2 linked regions of the Canis lupus familiaris genome follow. The protein of the gene in region 2 purifies or fractionates together with the protein of the main gene of each other region. This does not show direct contact. Links are inferred from orthologs where the notes say so. Each region holds a gene or a part of one and is shown on either strand. Other genes may lie near its edges.

Region 1 (4,131 bases), on a different chromosome or scaffold from region 2:
TATCAATTTGCAGTGATCATTTTGCATTTGTTTACCATTATTAATTCCATATTATGTTGATTACATATGTAAGTTCCATTGTATTGCCAGTGCTAGCACAGTGCCAGGTACAGAATGGGCATGTGATAATTGTTTATTGTAGAAATAAAGGAAGAAAGGAAAAAAGGCTGAGAGAGCAAGGAAACGGGGAGAGAATGTACAAATGATTGTTCACATTTATATTTCATTTCAGAATCACTGGAAACAGGCCAACTCAACAGGACAAGGGAAGATAGTATTCCTGGATTCAGTCATTTACTCAACAATATTCATGTGTTCATTATTAAAGTAATGTAATTTTCTTTTTTTTTTAATTTTTATTTATTTATGATAGTCACAGAGAGAGAGAGGGAGGCAGAGACATAGGCAGAGGGAGAAGCAGGCTCCATGCACCGGGAGCCCGATGTGGGATTCGATCCCGGGTCTCCAGGATCGCGCCCTGGGCCAAAGGCAGGCGCCAAACCGCTGCGCCACCCAGGGATCCCCTAATCTGGCAAATTTCTTTTCAGGTTTTTTCCATGTATGCATAATACATAGGTAGGATCATTATATAGAGACCTGCTTCTTTGTTTTCATGATACATCGTGAACATTTTCCTGTATTGTTAAGAATTCCTTGAACACCTGGCATTTAAATTGCTAAGCTACATTCTATTGGATGGATGGATGTAATTTAGACGCCCTTCCACCCATTGTTGGATATTTAACGGCTTGCCAATTCGTCACTCCTGCAACTAACGAATACACGCTTTGCGGGAGCTCAGAGATAAATAAGGTGATGAATTAAATCTAGCACGAGCTGGATTTGGGGAAAACAGGAGGCAGCTTCTTCCAGGTGGCTGAAAGGAACAATCACTCGCCGTAGGTGACGAGGCCCTGAAAGGAACGTGCTGTCGGTCAAGGTAAGCCCCGTTCTGTGTCTCGGGTGTGTGCCCGGCCCAGGGCCTGCTCCCGGGCGCCCGGCCTCAGGGCAGGCACCTCGCCTCCGGCTCCCACTAGGGGACGCCCCGGGCCGGGAGCCGCACGTGCCGCGCGCAGGGCCCCGCCCCCACCGGCCCCGGACACGCCCCTCGCGCCCGGTCCCGGCGCGCCCCCCGCAGCTCCGCCTCCAGGCGACCTCCGCGCGGCCTCCCGCTCCCGGAGGGGCCCCGCCCCCGCCCCGCCCCCGCATCCGGGCCCCGGGGCCGCCCCGCCCCGCCCGCCCCGCCCCGCCCCGCCCCGCGGGCCGCCTGCGAGGCGCGGGGGCGGGCCCGGCGCGATGACGTGGGCGGGCGTGCGCGGTGACGGCCCGCGTTCCTGTTACTCAGCGGAGCGGCCGGGGCCGGACGACGGGGCCGGGTGCGCGGAGCCGCCCTGGGTAACGGCCGTGGCGACCGCCCGGACGGCGCCAGTCCCGCGGGCGGGCTTCCCAGTCGCCGTGCGCTGCGTTGCGGGGTGAGTGCGGCGGCTGCCGCGGGGCCCGGGCGCCGGCGGCCCCGCCGTGTTTATGTTATTGTGCCGCCGCCGCCGCCGCCGCCGCCGCCGCCGCCGCCTTCTCCGCGGCCGGGACCCCCTCCCGGGAGTGGGGGCGGGAGCGCGGCGGCTCGGGGCGCGCGGCGGGCGGGCGGGGGCGGGGCGGGGCGGGGGCGGCGCGGGAACAATGGCGGGCGCGGAGGCGGGGCGGCCGGGGGCGTGGGGCTGCCGGACCCCGGCCCGCGCGCCCGCCCCGCCCCACAGCCCCGCGCGCTGCCCTCGCGGATGCCGCGTCCGCGTCGGGAGGGAACGTGGGGCGGGCGCTGGGCGGCGGGTCCTGAGGCGATTCGGGGAAGGTCGGGCGGAGGCGCCTGACTCGCTCCCGCGGCCGCCGAGTCCCGACGCCCGCCCTCGCGCACGGGCTCTCTTTGTGCCGAGGCTGCGGGCGGAGGCGCCGTCAGCCCTGGGCTGCGGGGTCCGCGGGGCCGGGCCGGGGTCGGCGTGCGCGAGCGCGGCCTCCCCTCGGGGGTCGCCGGTGCGGACCTTCCGGCCCTCCCCGCCCCCTCCCCTTTGTCTTGCACTCGTGTTCCCAAGGCTCAGACGGTGGAGCCGAGTCGGTCGTAGAGGATCGCGACGAACGCCTGCCGCGCGGGTGTCTGAGGGTGCGTAGCCGCGGGCCGACTACGGGCATCGGGGTTGCGGGGTCACTGTTTCTACCTCTGAGATTCAGGAGCCGCCTCGGTAGGATTCCGGCCTGTCAGGCCGTTGTGCTTTGGGATGAGCATCCGGCAGGTATCTGGGCCGGTGGAACATGTGTTTATTTCATTCATTCATTGAGCAGCTGTTCAGCACTGTACTCAGAGTTTGAAGCGAAGAGAAATACTTTTTTGATGGAGGAGGATGCTTTGAAATGTAATGGATGTCTTTTTAAATGAGTTATGTAAGCAGTGTGCGTTAAAGGTGTCGTTATACTCTGGGTCATTTATTTTTTTGGTTTTGGGTTTTTTTTCTTTTTTCTTTTAGTACAGTTAGGAGGTTGATCTAAACGTACAATGGCTTTCTTTATTTACAAATTTAACTTTTCAGTTTTAACAGCCTTACAGTCTTAAAAGTCATTTGTAATGTTTATCTCAGATTTCCCTGCTGTGGGTTAAACCTAGGAGATCACATGCTGTAAGGGAACATGCTCAGTGCTGTGCCTGACAAAAGCAAGCAATCAAAATGGGATTTCCTTGAGGACAGGCCTGTCTTTCATCTGTGTCTCCAGCCCTAGCCTGGAATATAGTAAGTGTTCAATAAGAGCTTGATGAAAAACTCTTCACGGTTAATACTATTTAAAATCCAGTCTTTACAGTTCTTTACAGTTCTCTGCAAACTCACTTTCAGTGGGCTAAGTGATTCGTTCATTTGTACTATCTGTCACCGCATCAGGGGCTTTTGAATATTTTAGTTTTTTTTTTCCTAGCACTTCTAATTCATTATCCTAAAATAAAATATTGTCTAAAATGCTTTTGTTGTTTTTGTCTTTTTTTTTTCTTAGTATGTGTATCACACACAGACATAGTGATATTACAGCAGGGGTCTAAAATGATTGAATTTGTCCTTTTTTGAACATTGCTTGAAAAGTTTCTGATGACGCCTGTAAGGGGAAAAGCTAGAGTATGGGAAATAAGCTACATGAAAGTTTTATTTGAAATGTTTAATTTCTAATTGCATTTGTAGAAATGTTTAATTTAAAATTCTACCTTGGTGAAGCATTTGGGCCTAACTGAATTTAAGATTTTACTATTGGAGAAGCATATGGGCCTGAAACTCCAAATAATACTGATTTATTCAAGTTACATCGTTTTTCCACTCACAGTTTAATAAATTTTAGCATGTTTTGGATATGAGAGAATTTGAAATGAGCTTATAGTATTGCCTGATGCAGAGAACAAATTAAAAGGAAATACTTCATTAAGATAAGGAATGAAAATCATGAGATACCAAACTTTTATTGATTTGTCTAGTTACAGTATGTCAGATTTCAGAAAGTGTTACTGATACAATCCTTTGGTGGTAGCTCACTGTAAGGCTACATGTCAATCCAGTTTTTTGTGTTTTTGAAATTCTTTTGGTTTTTAAAAATAACAATTTTATTGAGATACAAATGACATACCATAAAATTCACCCGTTTAGAGTGTGCATCAGTATGGGTTTTAAATATATTCAGAGTTCTGCGTTGATTGCTACTATGCAATTCCAGTACATTTTCATCACCCCAAGAAAAACTACGTACCCATTAGCAGTTACTCCCCTTTCCACTCTAAATTATGTTTATTTTATTTTATTTTTTAAAGATTTTATTTATTTATTCATGAGAGACACAGAGAGAGGGGCAGAGACACAGGCAGAGGGAGGAGAAGCAGGCTCCATGCAGGGAGCCCGATGTGGGACTTGGTCCCCGGACTCCGGGATCAGGCCCTGAGCTGAAGGCAGACGCTCAACTGCTGAGCCACACAGGCGTCCCCTAAGTTATGTTTAAAAAGAGATATCACTGATTCTTTTGGTGAGTATATTCCATTAATGAATTTGAAATGGGCTGTCTTTAAGTGTCCTGACAGAGTAGGAAACTATATTCTTATTATACTCCTTTAGATCC
Region 2 (4,270 bases):
GGCAAGGATCTTTGTCCTCCATCTCAGAACTAACTCCCCAGTGCCCAGCACAGGGCCTGGCCCCAGAAGGTGCTCAGTAAGGACTGGATGAACCTGGAGATGTGTATCCTCCTGGGTCTCCTGGTCCTAGCTCCCTGACTGCCCCCAGGTCTAGGGAGGGTTCAGGTCTTTCCTGCCTAGGGCGGGGTTGGGGGATGGGGGTGGGGGGAGTGAGGGGGGGGTCCCTCCTGCACCCAGGGTGCCTCCACAGCCTCCAGCCATTGCTTGCATGCCACCTCCTGGGGTGGCCTCCAGACGGCCCACCACCTTGTTTCCGGCCCAACCCTGCTCAAGGGGTAATTACCTAGGTCCCCCCACCCCCAACGCGCCCTCTGGACTCCCTGCACCCTGGCCTCCAGCGCGACTTTCCCCACCGTGGGGGGTGGGGGGGGGGGGCGGGGACAGACCCTCAACAGCCTTCTTTGTGTGGGGAGGGGAGGAGAACACGCAGGGTGCACCCCATGAGCGCTGTTCTCCCTGGAAGCACCAGGGGCCAGAGGTGACCCGGTGGGGCCAGGGGTCAGCGCTGCACTGGGGACCCCCTCGCCGGACTCCAGGAGGTGTGTGACCCCACACGAGCCATCCCGCCTCCGAGCTCCCCATCTGCTGCCCAGCGCAGTGGAAACCCAGGTTCCCAGCCCCGGGGTCGTGGAGGCGCCGGCGTAGGTGCCGCAGGTGAGGTGCTCGCCGGGCCCAGCTCGCCGCGGGGTCCCCGGCCCGCAGGCCCCGCGCAAACAAAGGCTGTGGGCCGGGGGAGGCGGCGCCAGCTCCGGCCGCGGCGGGGGAGGGGGGAGGGACCCTCGCGCCAGGACCCGTTCGGCCGGCCCCTCCTCGGGCGTGAGTGCCGCGACGCCCGGCGTCCCCGGCTGTGGGCTCGGCGCCGGGGCTGGGAAGGCTTCCCGGAGGCGGGGGCCCCGGCGGCGCGGGAGGGACGCTGTGCGGCGCCTTTAAGAGCCGGTGCCCGGGCGAGGGGCGGAGGGCAGAGGGCGGAGGGCGGAGGCCCGCTCGCCCCCCCCCCCCCCCGCCCCGCTCCTGCCCCCCGCGGCCGCCGCCTCTGATCTGCACCCGCGGCCGGGCTCCGGCTGACGTCACCTGCCCTGGAGCTGCGCGCGCTGATTGGCTGCAGGTGACGTCAGGGCCTTTTTCGCTCGGCATGACCTCATCCCCGCCGGCAGCCCCGCCCTCCGCCCCGGGCCTGTCACTCGCGGCCGAGCGCGGCGGCCCAGCCGGCTCCGCGCCCCCCGCCCGGACGCCGGAGCCCGAGCCGCGCCGGAGCCGCACCGGCCGCGCCCGCCGAGCCCGGGGTGGGATGCGCGCCGCGAGCGCGCGTGCCCGCCCGCAGTGCGCGCGCCCCGGCCCGAGCGAGCGCTCCCCGCGGCGGCGGCGGCGACGGCGGCGACGGCGACGAGGCCCGCGCGCTCCCCCGGCCCCTGCCCCGGCTGCGCGGGCCCCCGCCGGGCCCATGGGCGGCGCCGGTCCCCGTGCGCCCCGGACGCGAGCAGCGGCGAGGTGAGCGGGGGCGCCGAGCGGGGGCGCGGGGACACGCGGGGCGCGGGCGGGGAGCCGGTCCGGTGGGCGCAACGGCGGGAGCGCTGGGGCGGCTGCACCCGGCGGGCGCCCGGGAAGAGGCGGCGGCGGCGGCGGCGGCGGCGGGCCGGAGGGAAGAGGCCCGGTTCAGGGGGACGCGGCGGGCCGGCCCGGGAAGCCCTTCCCCCGCCTCCCACGGCGCCCAGCGGACCCCCGGCCCGGTCCGCGCTGCCCCCGCCAACCCCCGCTTCGCCGCCTTTCTCCTCGAAATTCTTTCTTATTTTGTGGGGGGAAGGGCATGCAGTAAGCACCCCGGACCTGGGCCCTCTGCGCAGACCTGTACGGACCTCAGCCTAGAGCCCCAGACTTCCCAGGCTGCCCCCCACCGCACCAGGGAGGCCCCAGATCGGACGGTCGTTCCTGCCCCCGCAGGGTAGGGATGCAGGCCCTGACCAAAGGAGCGGAGGGTTTGGGCCTGTGGGAGGCTTAGGAAAGGGCCCATTCCGAGCTCGGTGGGGAGGAGCTGCAGACCCCTGTCCCCTGTGTGTTCAGGCCGCCACCGGTACCCCCACCTCAGGGTGCTCAGCTGGCCTCTGCAGAATAAAGACCATCCGCCAGCCTGCTGCAGAGGCAGCAGCGGGTGCTGGGGGAGGGGCTGGCACTGCCAGGCTGAGTGCAAGCAGCCTGCCTCAGCCTATCTGCCCACCTTGGTGGGGAGGGGTACCCCAGTGTCTGGCCTTGAAGGGAGGGGGCCACAATGGGCCCAGCTCCCATCAGGTCACCGCGACTGGGAGAATTTGCCTCCTGACTTCCCACTGCAAAAATGGACTGGCTTCTGCAGGGGGGAGTTGGGGGCCTGGGTGCTTCAGTGATTGCGGGGTGCAAGGGGCAGTCCATGCGGCAGAGGAGAGAAGTGGCAGGGTCTACGGTGATGCCCAAAGTGTCATGGTGCAGCCTGGGGTGGAGGTGGGGGTGCTGCAGATCAGGGGAGCAGCATTCTGCTGTGCCCCCTGCCCCTGGGAGTCTGAGCGGAGGTCTGTGGGTCCAGACACTGCCCTCTGCCTCCCTCAGACCTTCTTGCTGGGAGGGCAGCTCAGGAAATGAGTGTAGCATCCAGTACACCCCCCCCCCCCCACCTCCTGCTCAGGGAGGACAGATGTCCCAGGAATTCACTCCTCAGATGCTTAATAAGCACCTGCCCGGTAGGACAGATCATGTGACTAGGAGCTGGGAGTTCATCCTGAATACCTCCTGCTGCAGTCAGCCAAGGGCTCCGGGAGAGCTGCTGGGCAGGTTCTAGTTCCCAACAACCCCCACCCCGTTCCCCCCCTGCTGCCCTCAGCCCTTGGGAGGGCTCCTGTGCCCCCGAGGCTGCCTCCAGGAACGAAGGCTTCCATGCAATGGATGCAGAAGGATGCTTGAAGGCATCCTCTGCTCCAGAAACCTACCCAGCATCCTCTCCTCTCCAGCTGAGGCTGACCTTGGAGCCCAGATGTTTCTGCTGCACGGACAGAGGGCCCAAGGGGCCTTGGAAGCCAGGGGGTATCCTGGCTGCATCTCCAGAGGGTGCAGCTCAGAGGGAAAGCAGATGAAGGAGCCAAACCATGGCAAGAGGGACATGGGTCAGACTCTGACCACCAGAACTGCACAGGCTGAGTCCACTTCTGCCTGGACCGCTCCAGGCAATGACCATAGATATCCCGGAATGGCCCACATGTGTAGCATGGGGGGACAGTGACCAGAGTCCTGCAGGTCAGTAGGGCTAGCACAAGCCAGGCAGGAACAGAGGAAACCTAGATCTGTAGGGTCCTGAGGGACCCACACGCTGAGACCTACTGCAAGCTCTACCCAGACCCCTGTGAACTGAGGGGGCAGGGCCCCACCCCATTGTCTCCCAGGCCCATGGCCTCCACACCAAGTCAGCCCTACTTGGCCTTGCTATCAGTCCCTCTGGGACCAGGTAAAGGCCAACTTGGGTCCTGTTCCCTGCAGCCCAGGGAGATGAGGGGGCAGGAGTGAGAGCATCTAGGGGTCCCTGATGAAAGCAGAGGAGGGGAAAAATGAGCTGAGTGGGTGAGAGCTATCTACCAGCCTATCTCCTGGCTTCATTGTGCAGCAGTTTTTGACTCCAGAGGTACCCCTGGGTCACAGTGAGCTGGACATCGCAGCATAGTGGGGGCCCCCTGCCAGCTCTTCTCGAGGGTCTACCTATGAGTGCCAGGCACCACTCGGGCTGGAGACACCAAGGCCCACCCATGGCTGACAGTCCTGACCGTTGTCTCTGGAGGTAGTGAGTTCCCCGTCAGTAGGTGCTGAGCAGAAGGCCTTGGTGAAGATGCTATCCATTGGGAGTTTTTAGGCCACGCATGTCCCTTGCTCAGGGACAAAGATGTGCCCCATGGAGGCCCTGAGAGCCAACAATGTAGAGAGATCGTGGGGCTGGCCCCTGGGGTTTGAGTGTCCTGGGATTTGAGGGGATTTGGCCCCCAGAGGGTGAGGATGAGTGCACCCAGTGGCCACATGTACCAGCACACATGTCTGCCTTGTGAGTAGTTGCATGAGGGGATGGGGTGGCTTGTGGGAAAGAGGTGAGCAGACAGGGTTCAGACAGGGTGCAGAAGGGCATGTCACAGCACAGGCTGCCCTGTGTATGTGGCCTTGCAGGGCAAGGGGAGCTGCTTGCCGCCTGCTGGGTGGTGCCCAG

What was found. Proteins that work in one complex are often made in the same cells at the same time.
Region 1: the proteins of DUSP8 (region 2) and MAPK8 purify together in Homo sapiens (affinity purification with mass spectrometry; 3 studies listed by BioGRID and IntAct, counting the BioPlex papers as one, with this or other methods). This does not show direct contact. The link is inferred for Canis lupus familiaris from reciprocal best matches to the Homo sapiens genes DUSP8 and MAPK8.

Annotation. Positions count from the first base shown.
Region 1 is NC_049249.1:431,443-435,573, forward strand, and holds the start of MAPK8 (mitogen-activated protein kinase 8), read left to right. Parts: upstream 1-1,323; 5' UTR 1,324-1,472; intron 1,473-2,078; exon of another isoform or gene 2,079-2,152; intron 2,153-2,624; exon of another isoform or gene 2,625-2,774; intron 2,775-4,131. UniProt on the Homo sapiens protein: Serine/threonine-protein kinase involved in various processes such as cell proliferation, differentiation, migration, transformation and programmed cell death.
Region 2 is NC_049239.1:46,262,070-46,266,339, reverse strand, and holds the start of DUSP8 (dual specificity protein phosphatase 8), read left to right. Parts: upstream 1-1,462; 5' UTR 1,463-1,548; intron 1,549-1,802; exon of another isoform or gene 1,803-1,999; intron 2,000-4,270. UniProt on the Homo sapiens protein: Has phosphatase activity with synthetic phosphatase substrates and negatively regulates mitogen-activated protein kinase activity, presumably by catalysing their dephosphorylation.